Linked DNA regions of Solanum lycopersicum. Each later gene encodes a partner of the first gene's protein in a complex. Links are inferred from orthologs where the notes say so. Each region holds a gene or a part of one and is shown in the gene's direction. Other genes may lie near its edges.

Region 1 (4,265 bases):
CGCGGTCATAAAAAATAAATGCATTTAACTTGCAAATATTTTTATACTAATATCCATACATTAAAATCATAGAAGAATAAGTTCTTAAAAAATTATTAGCAATACTGCAACATAAATTTAATTTTATTTGTCATTATTAGATAACTCAAAAACCTCCAATTAATGAATTATTCACGATATAATAAATCATTGGTTCATTAATCAATATTGAAAGACAATAAAGAAGAAGATATTAGGTAAGCTTATATATAGTACTTCTAAAATTTAATATAGAATATCAAAATATGAATTTTCGGAACTAAATACAATAATTTTTTTTGATAATAAATATACATACAATATGTGTATATGTTCAATATAACCGGAGAAAATAAGTTAACATAAACATAAAAATAATGTTTAAAATATGTACTCAAAAACAACAATTAATAACATGAGTATAAATTAATGAGCGTAAAAAAACATACCAGGATATGTATAAATACCATTAAATATAAAGGAAAAAATCGAGTCAATTGAATGCACAATGTCCCATTAAAAAATCTATTCCCCTCCAATATAAGAGGTTTTAAAGAACTACATCCTCTCAGGATGAAATGATTCTATTCACCAACTTATTGATAAAATAATGGGGGTGTTAATAAGTCACTCAAAATGAGCAAAGTACAAAAATATTTAATTTTACGGATGTAGAAGAGTATCAGAATTTTTGTTGTTTTAAAATGAGAGGAAATTTTTGTATTTATAGACAATAAAGGTTAGCGTGAACAAATTCTTATTGTGCCTTATCGGAAAGGTTACAACTATTTGAAATAGTTGCAACCCTTCGGAAAGGTCACCACTTTTCATTAAAGTTGCAACTTTTCATAAAAGTCACACTTTTGATAAAAGTAACAACTCTTCATTAAAATCAAAACTTTTGATAAAAGTCACAACTTTTCATTAAAGTCACAATTTTTCTAAAAAGTTACAACTGTTTTAATAAAATTCGCAATTCTTCGTTAAAGTCGCAACTGTAATTTTCATAAAAGTCACATGTTTTCAAGCAAGATGAAGGCTAATTTTGGAAATAATTAAATTTAAAAGGCAATTCTTTCTTGTGGTGCTGCCATGTAGGCGGGCAGAGATTCTCTTTTATATAAATATATGATATTCTTTTCTTGTGAACACGAATACTAATTTGACTCTTATTTTGAGACTCTATGATTAATTTACGTAATACGAAATAGATAAAAATCTACATCCCGATCTAACATACATCTTATGACTTCATTTAGATTCAGTAACTTTAACTCGAATCATATGTGTATCAAAGAATTTACCGATATCAAGAGGGGGCAAAAGAGAAACTTTGTAACATAGAGGGGGAAATTGTTATTTAGTTGAAATAGGATAAGGGGTGAAATTGTCAATACTCTTTAATGTGCAAGGCAAAAAGGGCTCTATCCACTATACAAGATAGTTCAGCTCTTAAGAGACTCAGTCTTGTAGCTTGCAGGCAAAATTCAAAAATGAGTAGCTCTTCACTCACAGCTTCTTTACATGCCAGGTAAATTTAGCTTCTTGAATCTGTTGTTAACACTATGAAGCTTGTTGCTTTTTACATTTTCATGTCGATTCTAGAATTAATGAAATTGGGTATTTGCACATTTGTTGTTTCATTGTCAATTTTATGCAATTTTGTGTCTTTTTAGCTTCTGGGGTTTCCTTATTATACGATAAAAATTATAGCTTTTGTGTGTTGTGGGTAAGGAACTTAATTGTTCTGCTCCCTTTTTCATACTGGGTGCATTTAGCTTGTTGATTTTTACACTTTCATGTTGATTCTTAAATTGTTGAAATTGGGTATTGTGCATTTGTAATTTCTTGCTCAATTTATGCAATTTTGTGTCTTTTAGCTTCTGGGGTCTCCTCATTATACAATAAAGTTTGTAGCTTTTGTGTATTGAGGGTAAGGAACTTAATTGTTCTGCTCCCCTTCACATATTAGGTGCATATAGCTTGTTGATTTTTACACTTTCATGTTGATTCTTGAATTGTTGAAATTGGTATTGTGCATTTATAGTTTCTTGCTCAATTATGCAATTTTGTGTCTTTGAGCTTGTGGGTTTCCTTATTATACAATAAAGTTTGTAGCTTTTGTGTGTTCTGGGTAAGAACTTAATTATTCTGCTACCCTTCTCACTCACTGTTTCTATACATATTAGGTGCATTTAGCTTGTTGAGTTTTACTTTTTCATTTTGATTCTTGAATTGTTGAAATTGGGTATTTTGCACATTTGTAGTTTATTGGTCAGTTTGTGTCAAATTTATGCAATTTTGTGTCTTTCAGATTCTGGGGTATCCTTATTTGAAGAATAAAGCTTTAGCCAGTATAGAGGGTGTCGGGGCTTAGCATGTTTTCTTGTAAAAATAAAAACTTTGATCTTGTTTTATCTATTTAAGGTCTCCATTTGTTGAGAGGTTTGAATGGGATTCATATCTTGAGTGTGGCTGTTATTGGTGTTGGCTTTCTTGTAAAACATATCTGTTATTCTTGTTTTATTTCATGTCAGCACTTTGCGGTCTCCTTTTGTTGGGAGTTTGAATGGGTTTCATGTATCGAGTGTTGCTGTTCGCCGTGTTGGTTTTGTGAGTAAGACGGTCGAATGTAAAGAATCAAGAATCGGGAAGCAACCAATATCAGTACCTTCAAATGTGACACTCACAATGGAAGGCCAAGATTTGAAAGTTAAGGGACCTCTGGGGGAGATGGCCATAACTTATCCACGAGAAGTAAAGCTTGAGAAGGAAGATGGAGGTATTCTAAGGGTCAGAAAAGCCATGGAGACAAGACGCGCTAATCAGATGCATGGTTTATTCAGGTAGTCTGCAGTTTAATTGTGCTGTTTTCTCGACTTCTTTTCTCGGTTTTATTCTTAGATATGGTAAACATTCTAAGTTATAATTTACCTATTACTACTACGTATGATCAAGAAGCTATAATCTACTTACTGGAGTAATTACTTTGAAATTCACGACTGGTTTTGATGTGGACTAGTGATGACTTAGTTCTTCTGACATAAAATTTAAGATTTAAAGGGTCTAATTGATCTTCTCCAATTATATGATATCATATTTTATAACCAAATTGAGATGTTTCCCAGTCCTAGTCCTAATTGATTTTATCCTAGTTGTTAATGAAGAGGAAAGGATAATTTTTTCCTCTTAATAAGGTAAAGAAGGGCAGTCATTTCTTACCACCTTGAAGTTTTCTGTTCTTTTTAGTACTTCTAAGTTTCAAAAATAGTGAACCTCTTTGTGGTTCTAAACTTTACTTATTTGATCTTAACTATTGATATATATTACTTGCTGTAGCCTCTTGCCAATGGTTACCTAATAAATTGATATAATCGAATGCTTCTTTTGCTATGAGGGGACTCGAAAATATGGAAGAAAACGTGGACATTAGTCACTGTAAGTAGCAAAAGAAGTATGTTGCTCGGGAATCACCAAAAATGTTATTGCATTTGTGTTGGATCCTCAAAAGTTCACTACTTTTGGAGGGTCTGACCTGCACTCGGCAGCATTTTGAAGAGTCCGAGCAACATAAAAGCAGTACATAGTTCTCAGTCTTGACATGTTAAAGAAACGATCTTTTGTCCGAGCAACATAAAAGCAGTACATAGTTCTCAGTCTTGACATGTTAAAGAAATGATCTTTCTCACTATGAGAAGATTGACTGGCAACAAAGTTCAAATGTAGCAGATCCTTAGTTCCATGACAGAATTAATGATTCTAAGGTCATGAGAAGTGATAAATTAGGCAGAAGAGGGAATATAGACGTAAGAACAGCTAGGACTTCTAGCAAAGGACATATATCAGTGCTAGTCGTAGTGTTTCTAGGCTAAAAGGTATCACAATTAGGGGGTGGTGAGAAAGATCTATAATATCTGGATGCTAATAAGCCATTTGCAAGTCTCAAAAGCCACAAGTGCATATACTACACTTTGGTCAAGGGGAAAATGGAAAAAAATGGATACGGTTAAAGTTTTCAATGTAAACAACAGATTTGAAGAGGAAAACCCCAACTTTAAAAGAAGGAAGAGAAAGTAGAAATAATTAAAAAATCTATGTTTTTGAGTTTAGACACGCACTTCAATTGGTTCTTTCATATTAAAACTCCTTATACTCTCCAACGGCTAGTTAACGACTACTTTAACTTAGGGAAGATCATAACTAATCAGATAAAAACAAGGGAAACTTCCTTTTGAGACATACTCACA
Region 2 (2,650 bases), on another chromosome or scaffold:
AAAGGCGGCGGCGCGGCGGCAGGAGGGTTGTTTTGGCATGTTTTGGCTGAAGGAATGGATTCATTTAAAGATGGATATGAGATTATATTGAGTGAAAGTTCATCTGTTTCTGATATTATTATTCAGCAATCTAAAAGGCTTAATAAGATTAGAAAAATGTATGCAAGGTTGAAGAATATAGAGAAGTGGAAGAAAGCAAGGAAATTAAAGGATTAATCATGAGAATTAGAGAGATTTAATTTATGTTAGAGATGAATTAATTTAAGTTAGCAAGAAGTTAGATAATGTTTTTTTTTTTTTTTTTTTGGTAATGTACTGCTCGACATGTTGTATGTCAGAGGAAGTATTCTAGTAGTGATTTATTATGCCTTAAAAAAAACATCGATTGTATCGATGTATCTAGTGTAATTTCATATGATTTTATTTTATGAAATTGAAGAGTTTATTTTTGATAAATTAAGATATTTCAAAGCATATTAAAAAAGAAATATAATAGTAAAGAAATTATTTTTTTTTAAAAAAAAAGATTAATGAATCAATACAACGTGTGGGATAACAAAAATTGAAAGTAGGACAAGATAAATAACTTGGATTTGCTTATGGCGGTAAGCACAACATCACTTCTGTTTATTCAAACACTTTATTCTTATCAAAGATTATAATCGAACTAAGTTATTATCAATCATGCCTGGTTGAATTAATCTTTCAATAATATGTAAAAAAAAAAACAAAAAACTATTTGGTAAACTCTAGATACAAAGGAAAAAGGAGGATATTTGATTTATAAATTGGCCAATTTGTGTTACACGTCTCGGAGAGGAGAGACCGATAGTATTAAATTCAATGGTCAAGAAGTCGTAATTGACACTCTATACATGGTGGGTGATATGAGTATAAATATAAATAATCTACAGATAATATTTTATTAGCATTATTTCTCCAGATGGTTAAGACTTGGAACTTTTAAGTTAGAGGTCTTAAGTTCAAAATCACTTGCCAGCGAAAGTAAATTCTGGGTTGAGCTCATCGCACCGAATTTGCCTAATGCAGATTATTTCTCCTATGTGATTTGCGAACTAACGTATAGGAGCGGGAGTTTTACCATGTGCCCACCCAAAAACAGCGATTACTTAAAAATAAAATAATAAAAATACTTTTGAGATTAGTCAAACCTTTTTTCTACTAGGGTAAATGATATTTTTACAACAAACAAGTTTTTCTTAAAAAAATATGCAATACTTATGCAAGAAATCAAATTAGTAATAACGAATCAATAACTAATCCCAAACAACCCTAACGAGTTTAATCCATTTTTGAAAGAGTATTTACATAAATGGGCCTTACCTACTCCTTGGGCTTCAAGTAATAGCCCAAAAGTAACATCATACAAAACTAGCCCAAGTAGAGCCCAATCAAATATACAGCCCAATATCCTCAGATAAGCAATCTAATCTTCAACCCGTTCCTCTTTTTCTCCATCTCTCATTCTTCTTCTGCAAAAATACCAACAATGGCGCTCACTCTCTCCAACACTTTCCTTCAAAAAAATGTCGCTCCTCCTTCATTCTCCTCCAAGAAGGTAACTCCCCAAAATCTCCATACCCATAACTTTTTTTTTTTTTTTTTAAAAAGTATATGATTGTTGAAAAATTGAATTTTGCAGATGGGAATTGGGAGCAATCAAATGCGATGGAGCTGCAGGAAGAAGGATATACATCCGCAATTCTACGATGACGCTAAGGTATATTGTAATGGAGAGCATGTGATGACAACTGGGGGAACAAAGAATGAGTACACAGTTGATGTTTGGTCAGGTAATCATCCTTTTTATCAAGGTAGTCGTTCACAGCTACTTCTTGATGCTGACCAGGTAGAGAAATTCAGGAAGAAGTTTAGTGGGTTAACACAGATTATGCAAATTCCAACTCTCAAAGGAGAGATTGTGCTTCCTCCTAAGAAGAAGAAACCTACTAAGAAGAAGTAGACTTTATTGTGTGTTTGTAATTCCCTTAGTTCGTTTCGTAAATGGGGAAATTGTTGGAGAATTAGGGGTTTTGTGTATTTTGTGTTTGTATTTTGATGGTTTCAGTTGTGAACTCAGTCTATTATTTGAAAATGGAAGTATAAAAATTCAGTCTTTGTTCTTCAAATTTTTGGATTTGCTGTTGTTGTTATATGGTTCATCAATTAGTTGGGCTGGTAGAGCATTTAAGTTGAATCCAGTGAATTGTCTTGCTTTCGATTGCCATTATTGCTTCGACTATTGGAATGTAATGAGCCTAATAGAGCTGAATGGATACAAAAAAATTGTGTTAACTTAAAACAGTTTGGATCAGGTGTAGTTCATTGATCATAGTTTACGTTCAATAGTTTCAAATGAGTTGTCTTTCACCCCTTTACCTGATAAACTGAACGAAACTTGTCCGTTTTGCACTATCTTGGTGTAATGTTATACCTGTGATTGGAAAGGCTGATTGTTTCAGGGTTTCAGCCGTCCCTTGAATCCTTGACAAAGTAAAGATGAAATAAAGTCTGTTATAGATTTGGTGTCTTGTCTTTTGTATGGTTGCATTAGCCAAGCGTTCTAATGTTAGTTGTACTGGTGCTGTGGTGCACTTCCATTCTTGCAGTTTACTGTGTAAAATGCTTT
Region 3 (3,154 bases), on another chromosome or scaffold:
TGTTGAGCTCATATTAATATTGAGAAGGTAGTTCCTCATGTTGTGATGTTGAGCTCTTATATGTGGTAAATTGTGATTTGAGTTGCTATAGATGACCAAGGAGCATCACGTTGGCTTTGAAGCAGCTGCATGGTACTGGCATTTTGTAGACGTGGTTCGGTTATTCCTATTTGTCAAATTCCATGTTTGTGTGTTGAATGGACTTGTGAATTACACCTTTAATTTTTAACTCATGTTGTTTATATGTTTCTGGTTGGGCTGCTAGTATTGAGTCTCCTAATTTCCCCTACAAAAGATTTTTACTGTCATTCGGGGACGAATGTTCCTAAAGGGGGATAATGTAACACTTCGAAAGTCCATGACCTAATCTAGAGATTCATATAATGAACCAACACTTCAAAAACTGTTTATTTACCTGAAATACTATATTTAAAGTATTTAGGAAGTGTTAGAGTCAAATGTCAAGAAATGACCATGACGTTCGATGATTGTGAAATATGCACTCGTGTGCCTTGGCATGTTGCATAGAGGTTTAAGAGTCGTAATTTAATGAAAGTTGGTAAAAAGGCGTTACATATATAGAAGAGAGTATTTAGGGTTGAAATGTACAGGTACGACTCCCCAAGGGCCACCCTAGGGGTCCTTGAGGAGGACCCTTCCATTTGGACCCAAAAGTTGTCAATTGACAGTGTACAACCACGAGCCAAGCGAGGAGTCGTCGTTTGATCGACGCTCCGTAGATGGCCTCATAGGTTGACACTTATTCAATTGGCCTGGATGCTCCAAAAATCAAGTCTCTGTCCCAAACAACGACCAGCAGCACGGGGCCGTTGATGGGACTACAAGGCATAGGTCGAGGAGTCGTCGACTGGGTTTGTTTTGCTGTCAAGTTTTTAAGTTGGGGATTTGATCAGTTAGTTAGTTAGTTAATTAATTAAGGGTTAGGGGGTGGTTAATTAAGTTAGTTGAAGGACTATATAATACCTAAGCCTCATTAAACTAACCTAACACCCCACAATTCCCAAACTCAAATCCTCTCCAACTTCTCTCTTCTTTCTCTCTCTATTGCAAGACCCCATTGAAGAACAATTCAAAGCTTGAGTAGGACTTAAATACTTCAAATTTTATCCATCAAACACTAAGTAATCCTAAGGTATGAAAGATCTACACTCTTGGGATCTCTTTCCCCAAAAGGCTCTTGAATTTGGGTCAAAATGATGAAATTGGATAATTTTAGTAAATTTGGAATTTTCATCCAATTGAGGGGCATAAATGATGAAAATTAGTAACGACAAGAGTAAAAATAATTTCCTTTTAAGGTAAAAGACATAGTAAATCAATAAATAAAATTGAAAAATATTTTTACCCTTTCCACTTTAAATAAAAGTGTTTTACTGTGTCAAACCCTCTCTAAATCCATCTTTAACCCGTTTATCTTTTCGGATTACCTAAAGAGTCCCTTGGATTGCAGATAAGGCATCAAAACCTCTTATAGATAGACAGAAGAGTAAGAGGGAGAGTTTTGAAAGAGAGAAAAAATGGCTTCTTTGTCAATGGGAAGTTGGGTATGTTCAGGAATAGGAAACCACAGACCATCCGCTTCGCTTTCTCTACGTACTGGTTCTTCAACAACGACTACTTCTGTTTCTTTGAAAATGGCTGCTAATGCCTCTACTCATTCTGGGTTGCTTCACTGCTCTTTTCTTCCTTCCTCTGCACTCTCTACATTATCTTCTTCAACATCCTTTTCTGGTAAGTTCCATAAATTCTCTATCTTCCTTTTCAATTTTGATGTGGAAATTGAAAATGTGAATTAGAGATTTCAGTTGTTATTTGAATTGGTAATGTGGGGTTGTTTATTGATTCCTGTTTTAGGCAGGTAGTATTTTCATTTGAATTGCTTCTTTTGAGAACTCCTTAATAGGCAATTATTCGCTTGTGTGTATCTTGAGTCCTGTTAAATTATATACACTCTTTGAAGGTACAAGGGGGAGACAAGAGTAGGTTGCAATTCTTCATTCTGATGTTTAGTATTCCATATAACACAAATTTGTAGTGTCTATTTGTGGTCTGACATTGCTGTGCTATTGAAAAAAAGTGAATCGTATTTCTGATTTTATAGTCAAAATCCATTGGTTAAAGCTAGATTATAAAACAATTGAACCAAAAAAGTTTCAACAAAGAGGAGACCTTTAAGGTCCAAAAGACATATGATCAATTTCATATTAAATTGGCATGATGAATAGTAGCGAGCTAATGGTTTAATATGTGGTGTAGGTTCATCATTTGGCATTGGCTTCAATTCCAACATTGGAGTGAGCACCACTAAAAGGCGTGGCCTGGTGGTGCAGGCAAAGAAGTATGCTCTTTGTCAGACTAAGAGGAATAGGTCGAGGAAGTCGTTGGCTCGAACACATGGTTTTCGCAAGCGTATGAGCACCACCAGTGGCAGAGCAACTATCCAGCGAAGACGTGCAAAAGGCCGATGGGATCTCTGCCCAAAGTCTTCACCTAGAACTGGAAAACGAGCTTAATGTTTATTGTTTTCTTGCAACTGATTTTTGTTGGTAATATGTTAACTATCTTTTTCAGAATTTTGGGCTGCTGTAATTTTCATCTGTTTTATTTAAAGAACTAATTTACTAGTTTCCATATTTTTGTATTGTCCACTCTTTCATTGATTGGTTTTTGCTTTCTCCTTCTGATCTTGTTCATGAGTCTGGTCAACAAATCGACCCTGAGAAATTTGTAGACTCAGCAGGTTTTCATTTGTCTGATTCATCATAGGGCTTTTTCAGAGGTCTAATGTTTTCTTTTGTTTTCCATTTGTCATTGGAGAAAGTATTATAAGAAAGTTGCTCCACCAAAGAGGGGAATATGAGACTGACATGTTGAGGTGTTTTATGGACATCGATCGAACAAGGCCCTTATGTAAGGGTGCTATATTGTTCTCACAAATCATTCTTCACATGTTGGGTGAGCTTGGATTGTAACTGCAGTTATTTGGAAATTTCAGAATTGCATTTGTGTTACTAAATTTTGCTTCGTAACTGAGGATTTTACTAGTATGCTGCAGGATCATCCGGCTGTTGGCATGTGTAAGTTGAAATACAATTTAGAAATGTGCCCCAACCGAACCAGAAACCGACCTGTC
Region 4 (3,328 bases), on another chromosome or scaffold:
AGTGAAGAAACTGGCTAAATAATAAAGATTAGGTTTATTTAATGAAATGGGCCACTACGACGTTAAATTTTCAAAAAATTATCCAGCCCACAAACCAATTTAGACTTGGGCCTACCTCATTCCAGTCTAATAGACCCCAATATTTTCTTGGTAAAAATTTTTGTTGGGCCAATAAAATTTGATATAGTAAATTTCATATATAACAAATACAAAATTTATATTTGTATGATATAGCAAAGTTTGTATACTTGCGCTCGGTGACAAATATAAATATGCATAATTCCCTATATACATATACAAAGAAAGCAGTTGTATAATTCACTATACATATACAAAAGAAAGCAGTTGTATACAAAAGATAAATTGTATAATCTGCCATTTGTGTATGTATAAAACGAGAAAAAGAGAAAGACAAAAGAAAACTGAGCAGGAGAATATTTGTTTTGTATAATTACAAGTGTATAGGACGAAGATATATGTATTTACATGTGTATATACAATTTTCTCTCGCTTTATACAAACAGAAATGCAATTTATACATTTCGTTTCTGTTTGAATAAGCGAGAGAGGCGAGGGAGATTCGGGAGAGTGGTGAGTGAGATTTGAGATAGGTGAACAAAACTATATGTATCTATACAATTTTCTCTCACTTTATACAAACGCAAACACATTTTATACAATTGTGTTTGTATAAAAAACGAGAGAGGTGAGTGAGACTGTCACAAAACGAGAGTGGCGAGCGAGATTCCACCAGGGAGAGTGGCGGAAATAGCAATAGTTTGCTATAGGGTACAATTAAATCAAAGTATATTTATAACATTTAATTTAAATTAACAGTTTGCTATTATATACAATTTTCCTGATTTGATACGATCTTCATTCAATAATTTTTAGCCCAAAACTTAAGCTAACATTTAACCATAAATTTCATCATATGTTTGGCTTAATTTTTGGAAACATATTTCACTTTTTTTAAGAAATGTATACTAATAAGTTTTAAAAGTTATCAAAACTAACTATAAGTTTGTATTGCATAACAAAATAGAATAAAAAGATTCACTATCGTAACAATTAGTGTCCATGTCACTGAAGCAATATGGTAATTCAGAGATAGTGCAACAAGCATCATTGCATACATTATGAAGTAGACGAAACATATTGTTCGTCACTTTTATCAATAATCATATCGTCATTTTCTTATTTACTGAATATTACATCATTATTTTGATGTTCACGTAAAAAATTTTACTTGAAAAATCTATGGCGAAATGGATCCGAATTTTTTTTACTTAAACATTCACAAATTAAAATTTAGTAGAGAGAACTCTGTTATATCCACAAAGAACATCTTATCCAATTACCCTTTTATTTTTCACACACAGAGAGAAAAAGCTCAGAGAAAATGGCGGCTTCTCCTCTTCTTCTACACTCCACGGCCTCCTCTTTCTACAATGCTGAGTTTCCGGCGTACTCCGTTCGATTGCCGGTCGGAAATACCAAGGTCCGGTCGTCCAATAAATTGACGGTGAAAGCTTCAGCAACAGTACTAGTGGATAAAAGTGAAGCTGAAAAAGTTAATCGTCTGAAAACAAATTACCTCGAAAAGATTGTGCCGTTGTTGAAGGAAGAATTCAGTTACACCAATATTCTTCAGGTAAACTTAGGAGTCGTTTGTCCATTGCATTTTTTTTCCAGAACAGATAAAAATTAGGGCTTGGGAAAGGGAAAATGGGGGAATTGAACAAATTTTTCAGTTTTTAAAAAAGCTTAGTGCAGGTTCAAACACAAATTCAATTTTCAATTATACTTTTCAAGTTAATTTCAATTTCAAAGCATATGTACTTCTTTAGCTTCAAATTTTACAACTTATATCTACAAATTTGAACTGTTTCTTGTTTGTTTGATTAAATGTTGAATTTTAGAGTTGAAATGCTGAGAAATTAGTTTGTTTGACACTATTATCATTTGAGGAGTGAGAAATCACAGTGAATATTAGTTGCATTGACCTATTGCTTCAAACTCTATTATTATTTTTTAGTTTTAATTTGATTTGATACGGAATGTGGAAAAACCGTGTTTTAGGTTCCGAAGGTCGAAAAGATTGTGGTAAATTGTGGTATAGGAGATGCTGCACAAAATTCCAAGGGTTTGGATGCAGCAATGAATGATTTGGCCTTAATTACAGGGCAAAGGCCTGTGAAGACTAGGGCTAAGAATGCTATTGCTACTTTCAAAATTAGAGAAGGTCAACCGCTTGGAATTGCTGTTACACTTCGAGGGAATGTAATGTATTCGTTCCTTGACCGGTTAATTAATTTGGGGCTTCCTCGAACGAGGGACTTTCAAGGCGTAAACCCCAATAGCTTTGATGGTCATGGAAATTATAGCATTGGCTTTCGTGAACAGAGTGTCTTCCCAGAGTTAAGTTATGATGCTCTTGGTAAGCCAAGAGGGATGGATGTTTGCATAACAACAACAGCTGAGACAGATAAAGAGGCACACAGATTGTTGGCTCTCATGGGTATGCCATTTAGAGAAGGTTCTGGTGGACAGACAACTTTTACGAAAAAGAAAAAGCTTAGAGCTCACCATTTTGACTCGAAGGCGAAGCAAAGGTCTAGGAGATGAGGTGGATCCAATCTCCAGGGATAATGAGTTGATTTGTTGTTTTTTAACTGTTTTGTGGTTTATCAGTTGTTTTTGGCGTACAATTTGAATAGAAAAATCTGTAATTGCACTTTTACCATCTGGCTGGTGATGTCTCGAATATATGTTATTTACGTTTTCTTCCTCTAAAAAAAAAAAAATAAGAATTGTTTTTATCTCTAGTTAAGTTTTTACTATTCATGAATCTTGATTACTGTAATTTGTATGTTATTAAATATTTCCTACCCGCTCCCTTTTCTCGTCTGCCATTTACTTTGATTTCAGGCAAAGAGTTTCTCTTGTTAGCTCCACCATATTCACATTTAGGTGAGTTAACATCTCTGCTTTTATCTTTTATCGTATGTGATAAGGAGTATTTGCGGGCGATATCTTATTTACGTTTTCTAAATTTGTCCTAATGCTTAACACTTGATGTGTGTGAGGCTGTGGAGTCCCATACTTATTTCTACTCCCTGATCCCCCACCTTTCTCCTTTCTTCCTCTAAGGTTTATTTATATTCGCATATTAGAAAGTCACAGTTATTTATAGTATATACCATGTTGCTGAATCTTTATTCCCTTGGCTTCATTTTATTCTGCTCAAATTGTACAGAGTTTTTTCTTTCAAAGTGTGTATGAATGTGCTTTTTAGTGGTTTCAGGTTCTATGTCATTTGATTTGG
Region 5 (2,236 bases), on another chromosome or scaffold:
GGGTACATGATACTGGATCGGACACCAGAGTTATAAAAATATGCAATTTAACTCTTTTTCCAATAAAACAAAGCACTAATTGCCAAAATGCTAGAGGTAACCAACTCATTTTTACTCGGCTATAGGATGTTTTGGGCTGATTAGTGCAGATGAAGTTGGTCAATCCATTAATCTTGATGATTCATATAAGTGGGGGAACAATAAAGGTCACGGACTACAAATGGGATAGACTGGCCTATAATATTACTCACAAGGCTAACAGTAGATGCAAAGAGACGTATATGTTTGTTCTTTTATGTGTAAGAATCATACTCAGGTGTATTTTGTATGACCTACTTATTTTCAAGTATCTTTTTCACGGTGTTTGATTGTCATGTAATAATTGATTGAGTCGCCTTCAACATCAAGTGATTGAGTTCACGTTTGATGGATAAAAAACACTATTAATCCTTCTGGAGTGGGGTGATTTTACACATATATATTATAGCAAGGAAAGAGTAATAGGTACACGTGAACTCAAGTTGTGCCTAAATAAGCAACTAATAACAAAAAAGTGTTATTATGGTAATGAAAAAATAAAAGTATCCATTCAAGTGAAGTTTACTTCAATATCATCGAAAAAGGAAGGAAAATGAAACGATTTGACACCAATTGAAGGAACAATTTAACCTTTTAGAAGTAAAGTCATTTCCTCTAAACATGTAACCTACTAATAGTCAACATTCACTTCTCATAGTTATGTCCAAAATACAACTACTATGCTCCATATATTATACAATAACTTTTATATTAAATCATATAATATCAGAGAAAGATTAAAATAATTATGACTAGTTGAAAACATTACCAAACATACAGACACAAGTTGAGGAATTGTGTCCCATGATCTTATAAGATTATTACTCATTTGAACTCAATTAGGCCGTGTACTTTTGACTCTAAATTATATTCACTTATGTACTAAAATTTCATAAACTATTCTTTAATCACAATGACCTTTGGGTCTCTAACTAAGAATTTCTCCGTCTCTGCCCTTTATACACACCGTCCATCGCTCCTATCGATTGTGAAGTTACGTTTAGTTTTCAGACTTAATATATGAACATAAATGGTAAGTTATTATTATACAAAAATATAAACTATACATAAATTAAAGACCAACACTAAATAGAAGCAAAAGTGTAAATGATCCCACAGATTTATTTGGGCCAGACCAATTGTTGTTCTACTACATCCAACACTCAAATAACCCAAAAGGGCTTTAAGGCCCAAATGCCAAACGGTGTCGTAACCTTAGCAGAAACTGAAGTCACCAGAAGATAACGAAGGCAATCCACTTCAAAGGTTCCATTAAACACAGCCAGAAGAAGGAAAAACCTTTGAAGAGAAGAAAAAAGAAAATGTCAGCCTCCGCCATATTCGGGTTGCAGATGGCGGTGTTGCCGCGTTCCTCAACTGTTTCAGCGACCGGATTCACCGGCGGAGCCACCAGGTTGGCGTCGGCACCCACAAGTATCGGGGGATTGGTAATTGAGTGCTCATCTAGGCCACAGAAGAAGGCTACAGCTCACCATAAGAAGACACGTCCACGGAAGACTCAAGCTTGGGATATTCGACGTGGACCAGCTGTTTATGCTCCGTTACCTCCCTTACCATCGGAGTGGTCCTTTGCCAGTGATGAATCGGGTCAACCCGCTGCCGCCGGAGCTTCAGAGTCCGACGCCAAATCTGAGTAATTTTTCTGTAACTTATCATTTCGGCTTTTGTATAATGGTGTTTTCCGTCTGATACTTTGGGGAAATTTGCAACTTGTTCAATTGCAGTTTTGGCGCAATAAGTGATTTGAAATGAATGTTTTACGCTTTACTTTTTAATCTATTCAATGCCACTGGATAATGCCGTAGCTTGTGAGATAATAAACAATATCCTTCGAATATCGGTTCCGTATAATAAAATAGCAAAATTATATATTATGTAAAGCAAATATCAAATGTGATCGGGGAGAGGGGTCTCGTACTAAAAACAATGAATGAGAAAACAGTAGCTATGTTTGTATTTGCATTAAGGCAATATACTCGCTCATTCAACATCGGAATCCTTTGAACTATGTCGCAACAACCATTCCGATCAAAACCAAACTATCCAGTAGATTAGACGAGCCAACAATGTACATTTTATGTTCCTACTGTAAATGGCATATTTACAAAGTATGAAACCCAATTATTTGCCCTCCAGA
Region 6 (3,379 bases), on another chromosome or scaffold:
TCTTGGTGAACTTGAATATTGTTGGATTGATTCAGACATGGATTCTTCAACTCCTAGTGATGATGATGATATGAATATTTGGTTCAAGGATTGTTACTATGATCAAAATGGAGTTGAAGATTTCACTAACTTTGTTGGTGCATGTAGGGAGTTTTCTTGGGAAGAATCTTGTGAATCTATGCTTTATGCGCCTGATGTCTGATATTCATATTGGAGCTCAACTAATCTGGATTCACATTAGTACTGAGGGATTCATTGTTTCCTCGTAAAGGTGACTTTGTACTTTGAAAGATTCAAATCTGAAATCTCTAATTAAGGATGAAGGAGTACTTATAGATAGTCATTGAGATAGGAGTATTGATTAAGACGTTTTTCATGGCAATTGTAAATCCCATATTAGTATAAATTCTTTTTACTAAAGACCTATGAACTTTCTGTTGCTTTTAATTCAATGTGGAATAAGCATAGCTTACCTAATTTTAGGATGTAAGCTGCAGAACCTATTTTTATGGTACATTTGAAATTATTAGTTCAAAATTTAATTGAGTTTGTTAAGTTTCAACATAAGTGGAACGAGGAGAAATTGATTTCTTTATATACTCTTGAACAATCATATCTCCTCGATTTATCTTTTGAATTGAGTTAAATCTAATATGGTATTGAAGTTACGTCCATCTCACTTCATTATCATTTAATATTAGGTCTCCATTTTATATTGCTTACATTCATGATATCTGACCATGAACGTGCAAAGGAGCGTTGAGTCTTAAATTGATTGATAAGCATAAATAATCTTGAACAATTATTTCCTCTTGAGCTAGCTACGATGTTACAGTTAGATTAGATTCAAGGTTTGTTTTCTTAACCGAATTCAACATACGAGTTGGGCTTAGCGTATCATGGAAAAATTGGAAAGGGAAGGCAATATGTAGCAGGCTGCATCAATAGCGCCTCAAAATAAAAGAAAATGAAGGTTTTGGGCTTATGATGGTGTAGCCCCAACTAACAAAAGACTTGATCAAGAAAATTGTATAACTTTTATATTATATCAAAATTAATAAAAATAAAGAGCACATTTCATAAAAATTTTATTTGTCGCTTACGCTCTAAAAAATTTATTTTTTTTCCTACACAAAAGAAGATTTAATTATGTTCTTAAAGTATTGTAAATTAAATAGACATGCCCTTCAACTCTTCGTCAATAGTTTGGCTTATATATGACCTTATCATTTTGAATGTGTTATTAGTCTAAATGAAACATTTGATTAACCTCATTTGTTGATTCATAAGTGAAAAAATTATCAAATATACTCTGACAACGATAAGCATAGAAAGAATAGAATATTTGTAGACCTTATCACTATCTCGTAAAGCTAGAGAGTCTGTTACGTCGTAAAGTTGAAGAGTTCATTGGCGCAAAAGGATCGGTCCTTCACTTGCTGATCGTTCGCAAGTCGAACTCGCTCTCTTGCCACGCCTTTCACTCACTCGCTTGAGACGGACTCAATCACTCTTTGAGTTTGGAGGATTCACTCTCTTGTTATTACCCGCAGGGAGCGCATGTTTCCGCAAATATGTCCCTAAATTTATCAAATATGTGCTCAATTTCAAATACTTTGAGGGTATATATGACTTTTCCATTTTCACTAAATTTATTTGAACAAAGAATATGAATACATTTTGATATCCTTCTTCCTCATTTGTGGATAACCCAATCCATAGGCTTGCAGTTTGCTCCTTCACTGCAAAAATGGCTACTTCTTCTTCTTTATCTTTCTTTTCTTCCACCATTTTCTTCTCTAACTCCAACACCCTTCACTCCTCAAAGCAGCAGCAGCAGAAACAACTCATTTTCAAACCCAAACAACAACAATTCTCCATCCGTTCAGAGGCCGCCGCCGCCACTATTCCAATTCTGTCCTTTGATGGTACCGAAGTGGGCTCCACCACTCTCAACTTAAAATCCGCCCCTCTTGATACCGCACGCGCCGTCGTTCATCGTGGGCTTACCACTGACCTGCGCAACCAACGTCGCGGTACTGCTTCCACCCTTACCCGAGCCCAAGTACGGGGTGGTGGTATCAAACCATACCCACAAAAGAAAACGGGTCGAGCTCGACGTGGGTCGAACCGAACTCCTTTACGACCAGGTGGTGGGGTTGTGTTTGGGCCGAAACCTAAGGATTGGTCAGTTAAGATTAACAAAAAGGAAAAGAGACTCGCGATTTCTACTGCGCTTTCGAGTGCTACACAGAATGCCATTGTTGTGGAAGAGTTTGATGATAAGTTTGAGAAACCGAAGACTAAGGAGTTCATTGATTTGATGAGAAGATGGGGATTGGACCCAAAAGAGAAATCTTTGTTTTTGATGACGGAAGTTTCAGACAATGTGATTCTCTCCAGCAGAAACATTAGCACATTGAAGATGTTGACACCCAGAACTTTGAATCTTTTCGACATATTGGATTCTGAGAAGCTGGTTTTCACTAAATCAGCTGTGGAGTTCTTGAATGAACGATACGGAAATGATGATGATGATGATGATGACTGGGAGGTGGTGGACGAGGAAGAAGAAGATGGTTAGTTTTTGCTTCATTTTGGGTATGAAGTTTCCTTTCAATTTTAGCTAACTCGTTAATTTGCTGCATTCAGGTGGCGAGGTGGAGGAGAGTGCTGAAAGTTCTGAGTAATATATGAACATGGGGCGAAAAGGGTCTGTTCCATTTTAGAGGAGGCTTTACCTTACAGGGAGCTTAGTATATTTCACTTTGAATTGTATTTTATTGTATGATAAAACTAGGTGATTTTGGTTGATTTCATGTCACTGACTGCATTTGTCCATTACCTTCGTTGGAATAGTTTACTCTTGATTTTCGTTCCGCTCTCATTACCACTTTGAGTTCTTGATTTTTATGATAAGAGTGATTAGTTACTTTACTAATTAAGTCTTGTGTTCTGGCAAAACTACATTAATTGCTTAGTAGATGAAGCTTTATATAAGATTTATGGGTTACAAGTTGTCAGCCAGGCGAGATTCAGCAAAGTAAAATGATTAGGAAAGCTTTGTGTTTGAGTCTTAGGCTTGAAGCAATTAAGCAAAGTTAAGAAAAGGAAACCTTTATTTGGGTGGAAAAAGCTTCATCACCTTTTTCTTTAATACAAACACAAAGTAATTGGCAGGAAAAAATGCTCTTTACTTTGTTTTGAGTCATTGGGGGCATATGGGATGCTAAGCATTATTAACCTTGAAACAGACCATATCTAGTAGACTATCTATGGAGGCAGATAACTTGGACATTTGTACTATCAAAATATGTGATGGAGAGTATATGAGTATCTCTAGGCTTTTACTAGAACTTTTGAGTTTAAGCGCTAATTG
Region 7 (4,214 bases), on another chromosome or scaffold:
CCCCCCCCCCCCCCTCTTCCCCTACAACCTCTTTTATTGTGCATATGTTTCTGAAGCCTATTCAGTCATATAGAAACTAAGCTCCATAGGATTGATGATTGTAGGCAGCCATGACTACAGATGGAAAAGGCGGATGGGAGGAAATCGCAGATTCCCGTCTTGATGGGAAGTATGATCTGCAAGAACTTAATGATGTAGCAGCACTTGCATACAAATGTGTGAATCGTGCTGCCAAGAAACGGCCTTCCATGAGGGACACTGTGCAGGTTCTGTCAAGGATACTCAAGTCTAGACACGAAAGAAAACGCCAGAAGCGATCTTTATCTGCAACAGCAGAGGAGATTACCATCAATGTTGAACAAGTAGATCATCGGAATCCAATCTCTGGACATCGACGTGTTGAATCTATAGATAGCACAGCTGACTCGTATGAAGTTTAACTCAGTTCTTCCATTTGTTTATTTTTTTGTTTCATCTTGTAAAATTGGTCAGGTTGTTAGGTTTCTTATTTACAAAAACACACTTTTGTCTTGGTGAGTTCGTTTGGGATACTTAGGGGTATGTTATAGTCTGAGTGTATGATAGCCTTTGTTCCCAATTTTGTTCTAAGTTTTTGTAAATTTGCGTGGAAGGTTAATGAATGGTAGAAAACGGGGAAAATCCCAGATCAGGCTTTTCCACTTCTTCTACATTAGTATCCTATTCAATCTAATTTTATTAAAAAAGAACCAAGCTTTTTTTATTTTTTAATCCCCCGATACTTTTTTTCAATATATTTATTTGTTCAATTCGTCTTTTATATGTTTTGTCAACCTATAAAACATTAAAACTTGATCATTTTTCCCTTCTTAAATTAGGGCAAATTGATACTTTACAAATTTATAATTACAAAAAATCTTCAAAACGGATACAATAATACAAGCGTTGATACATTAATCTAATGCGCGAGATGCAATAATTTAATGTATGAGATACACTAATCTGATGCGTGAGGTACATTTTATATATGATACACTAATCTGATGCGCGAGGTACATTTTATACATGATACACTAATCTGATGCGCGAGGTACATGATACACTAATCTGATGCGCGAGATATACTAATCTGGTGCGCGAGGTACATTTTATACATGATACACTATATGATGCTCGAGATACATTAATCTAATGTGCGAGATACATTTTTATACATGATACACTAATCTGATGCGCGGGATACAATAATATGATTCGCGATAGAAATTGATGTGATGCATGAAAATTGTGAAATTTTAGAAATTTGTAAAACTTATAAGGGATAATGATAATAATTAAACTAAAAGGTGAGATTTTCGTAATTAATCCACAATCCCGAAATAGCTGAAAAGGGACTTTATAATTGGGCCGTACTCGACCCGTTGAAGGTCCAATTAAGTTGGATCGGGTGTCCAGGGATAGAGAGAGAAGAAGACGAAGGTTCTGGTTTTTATTATCCTATCCAAATACTCAGCTCAGTGTTGTTTCTTCCTTCAACAAAAGGATTTTGCAGAAGGTTTTGAACAATGGCGGCTCTGCAGAGCTCCTTTACTGGTCTCTCCATCTCCTCCACCTCCTTCTTCGGCCAACGCTTCTCTCCTCCTCTCTCCCTTCCTCTGGTATGCTTTCTCATAACTTCAACTATCTGGTTTTCAAACTGAACTATCTCAAATGTTAATTGTTTTGTTTCTACAACTGTATCATTCGGTCCAGCTTGCTCACAACTCGACTAATTACGTAGAATACCTGCTACCTCTAGCCAGAATTGAATTGTGTTGCAAGTAACTTTCTCCATCCAGTCTTACATAAATGCGAAGAAATAAACTAGTGTATTGTGATTTGAACCAATAAATCGTAGTTGTTCACCACTGCATTGACCACTAGGCTATATCCTATCTGTTTATCTCAATTTCAATTGTCTTTGTGAAAGGTCTTTGTTTGAATAATTTGATTTCTATGTATTAGGGATCATAGGAACAAAGGTATCCATTTCCATTGTACTATTGATTATAAATTAATTTTATATTATTTGATTACAATATATTGTGAACTTTTTCTCTGCTTGGTCACCATTGCTACCTGAGTCCTTTCTCATATCATATGTTTTTTCGCTATTATAAGTTTTGACTGCGTGTTTGGTACGAAGGAAAATGTTTACCTAGAAAACAAATGTGGAACTTACTAATTTTCTAGTGTTTATATGGTAACTAAGCTAGATAATATTATTCCAAGAGCATTTATATGTTATATATCCAACAAAATACTATGGAGGCGAGATGGGATGGGGAGTGGGGATTCGGGGATGGACGGACGTGATATGGTCAAGAAGTGGGAGTTGGAGGGATTGGGTGATGATAACTTGAAATGCTACTTATCCATCTTGTTTTTCTTACTTCCACTACGGAAGTCATTTTCTTTATTTTGAACTTGAACTTGTTTTCCTAAAGAAAATATTTTCGTAACACAGGAAAGTTGGAACTACATACCAAACACAGTGTATTTCTAGCTGCAAGAGAATAATTTTATATATAAAGACATCTACAATTTGATACAGTAGTTCCTCAAAAGTTCTTCAAAAAGTCAAGTATATTAAGAATATGCTAATTGGTTAACTTAAACTTACCCCCTCTGTTGTGATTGATGTCTTCCAAGTTCTAACATAGGATGAACCCTGTATTTGACTTAAGGTTCGAAATTTTAATATTTGGACATATTTATCAATTTTTTAATACATATATAGGGTCTGAGTTAAAGCTACTGGGTGCTGCTGAACCCATATTATACATATGCCTCTGTGTTCCTCGATAATAAATCGTTCTCATATTATAGTTACCTGTATAATCAGAAGTTATTGGAAGCAAATATGGAATAAGATCTGTCTCCAGAAAATGCACTTGCTTGTTATTCGGTTAACACTTTTTGGATGTATATCACGCCTTACGCAGTTTGTCACTTTTTATTGTGTCAACTGTAAAACTGGATAATCTTTTGCCACTTTAATGACAATCTCCATATAATGCCGTGCAGGTTAAATCAGCAGAAGGTCCATGTTTGATTACAGCAAAGGTTGGTATCTTGATCCATTTTGGTCCTTTAGTATATTGTCCGAGATAGACATTTCCGGCAACTACTTTTATAGGGTTGCTGTTAATGTGGTCATGCATTTCTTTTATAACTTATGATGTAATGAAGGAAGTGCTCGAACTAACTTGTCAACAGCTTTTAAAAATGGCCACCAAATGTTTGTATTGCTAAACCTTTGGTACTAATTTTTATGGGTATGATATTCTTTTAGCTGAAACAACAGTTAATGAGAATTGTGATTAGAATTAGCTTTATCATTGAATAAGAGCTTCTTTTTATGTCTATTTTGCAGCTTAAGCGATGGGAGCGTAAAGAATGTAAGCCAAACAGCCTTCCAGTACTACACAAAATGCATGTAAGGCTGGGTGATACTGTAAAGGTAATCTCCGGCCATGACAAAGGTAAAATTGGAGAGATTACCGAGATCATCAAGCACAACAGCAAAATAGTAGTAAAAGAGGTGAACTTGAAAACCAAGCATGTGAAGAGTCGGAGTGAGGAGGAACCAGGCCAGATAGTCAAGGTTTTATCTCGATTTCTTTCTTCTCTATCTTGCCTAAAAATTGTTATCTTGAGATTTCATTTCGTCGTGGCTAGCATCGAATTCATCTTTGCCCTAACAAGAAAGTAAAACTTTGTGTTAAGATTTTAGATTGAACTTCCCCAAGTTGTTTGGATTGAGACGTAGTTGTTGTTATTGTTTCAGATTGAAGCTCCTATTCACAGCTCAAACGTGATGCTTTATTCAAAAGAGCAGAAGGTAGCCAGTCGGGTTGGTCACAAAACTTTAGACAATGGAAAAAGAGTCCGGTACCTCATTAAAACTGGGGAAATCATCGATAGTGCAGAGAACTGGAAGAAAGCAGTCAAAGAGAAGGGGAAAACAACAGAAGCAGTAGCTGCTGCTTCCTAGGAGATCCACTGGTCTGTAAATTCTAGTTCGATTTTGCTAATTTTGAATCTTCTCTCATTGATATATTATGATTCTGTTGTCACCTTCACCTTTTTAACTCAGTAACATAAGATTTTATATTAAAGTACATTTACTCAAAAATTCTGTTTGCCAGTACTATTACGTACTAGAGTTTGATGGTTAATGGGTCGAATACAAT

Evidence for each region.
Region 2: 50S ribosomal protein L6, chloroplastic (region 1) and large ribosomal subunit protein bL31c share a complex: the UniProt entries of both Arabidopsis thaliana proteins name them as parts of the 50S ribosomal subunit. The link is inferred for Solanum lycopersicum from reciprocal best matches to the Arabidopsis thaliana genes emb2394 and emb2184.
Region 3: 50S ribosomal protein L6, chloroplastic (region 1) and large ribosomal subunit protein bL34c share a complex: the UniProt entries of both Arabidopsis thaliana proteins name them as parts of the 50S ribosomal subunit. The link is inferred for Solanum lycopersicum from reciprocal best matches to the Arabidopsis thaliana genes emb2394 and AT1G29070.
Region 4: 50S ribosomal protein L6, chloroplastic (region 1) and large ribosomal subunit protein uL5c share a complex: the UniProt entries of both Arabidopsis thaliana proteins name them as parts of the 50S ribosomal subunit. The link is inferred for Solanum lycopersicum from reciprocal best matches to the Arabidopsis thaliana genes emb2394 and AT4G01310.
Region 5: 50S ribosomal protein L6, chloroplastic (region 1) and large ribosomal subunit protein cL38 share a complex: the UniProt entries of both Arabidopsis thaliana proteins name them as parts of the 50S ribosomal subunit. The link is inferred for Solanum lycopersicum from reciprocal best matches to the Arabidopsis thaliana genes emb2394 and PSRP6.
Region 6: 50S ribosomal protein L6, chloroplastic (region 1) and large ribosomal subunit protein uL4c share a complex: the UniProt entries of both Arabidopsis thaliana proteins name them as parts of the 50S ribosomal subunit. The link is inferred for Solanum lycopersicum from reciprocal best matches to the Arabidopsis thaliana genes emb2394 and RPL4.
Region 7: 50S ribosomal protein L6, chloroplastic (region 1) and large ribosomal subunit protein uL24c share a complex: the UniProt entries of both Arabidopsis thaliana proteins name them as parts of the 50S ribosomal subunit. The link is inferred for Solanum lycopersicum from reciprocal best matches to the Arabidopsis thaliana genes emb2394 and RPL24.

What each region holds. Positions count from the first base shown.
Region 1 is NC_090811.1:69,209,051-69,213,315, forward strand, and holds the start of 50S ribosomal protein L6, chloroplastic, read left to right. Parts: upstream 1-1,465; 5' UTR 1,466-1,511; coding exon 1,512-1,549; intron 1,550-2,555; coding exon 2,556-2,864; intron 2,865-4,265. UniProt on the Arabidopsis thaliana protein: This protein binds directly to 23S ribosomal RNA and is located at the aminoacyl-tRNA binding site of the peptidyltransferase center.
Region 2 is NC_090803.1:66,609,294-66,611,943, forward strand, and holds large ribosomal subunit protein bL31c, read left to right. Parts: upstream 1-1,360; 5' UTR 1,361-1,510; coding exon 1,511-1,579; intron 1,580-1,663; coding exon 1,664-1,984; 3' UTR 1,985-2,150; downstream 2,151-2,650. Other genes in the region: mannan endo-1,4-beta-mannosidase 7-like, read left to right, coding at 1-216. UniProt on the Arabidopsis thaliana protein: Binds the 23S rRNA.
Region 3 is NC_090800.1:53,256,371-53,259,524, forward strand, and holds large ribosomal subunit protein bL34c, read left to right. Parts: upstream 1-1,411; 5' UTR 1,412-1,538; coding exon 1,539-1,752; intron 1,753-2,277; coding exon 2,278-2,534; 3' UTR 2,535-2,654; downstream 2,655-3,154. UniProt on the Arabidopsis thaliana protein: This protein binds directly to 23S ribosomal RNA.
Region 4 is NC_090808.1:1,642,860-1,646,187, forward strand, and holds large ribosomal subunit protein uL5c, read left to right. Parts: upstream 1-1,233; 5' UTR 1,234-1,402; coding exon 1,403-1,654; intron 1,655-2,082; coding exon 2,083-2,628; 3' UTR 2,629-2,828; downstream 2,829-3,328. UniProt on the Arabidopsis thaliana protein: Binds 5S rRNA, forms part of the central protuberance of the 50S subunit.
Region 5 is NC_090803.1:63,903,610-63,905,845, reverse strand, and holds large ribosomal subunit protein cL38, read left to right. Parts: upstream 1-1,400; coding exon 1,401-1,736; downstream 1,737-2,236.
Region 6 is NC_090806.1:67,227,888-67,231,266, forward strand, and holds large ribosomal subunit protein uL4c, read left to right. Parts: upstream 1-1,259; 5' UTR 1,260-1,750; coding exon 1,751-2,579; intron 2,580-2,652; coding exon 2,653-2,690; 3' UTR 2,691-2,879; downstream 2,880-3,379. UniProt on the Arabidopsis thaliana protein: This protein binds directly and specifically to 23S rRNA. May play a role in plastid transcriptional regulation.
Region 7 is NC_090806.1:68,736,301-68,740,514, forward strand, and holds large ribosomal subunit protein uL24c, read left to right. Parts: upstream 1-1,414; 5' UTR 1,415-1,544; coding exon 1,545-1,637; intron 1,638-3,045; coding exon 3,046-3,084; intron 3,085-3,394; coding exon 3,395-3,625; intron 3,626-3,808; coding exon 3,809-4,015; 3' UTR 4,016-4,156; downstream 4,157-4,214. Other genes in the region: calcium/calmodulin-regulated receptor-like kinase, read left to right, coding at 105-440. UniProt on the Arabidopsis thaliana protein: One of two assembly initiator proteins, it binds directly to the 5'-end of the 23S rRNA, where it nucleates assembly of the 50S subunit. Required for optimal plastid performance in terms of photosynthesis and growth.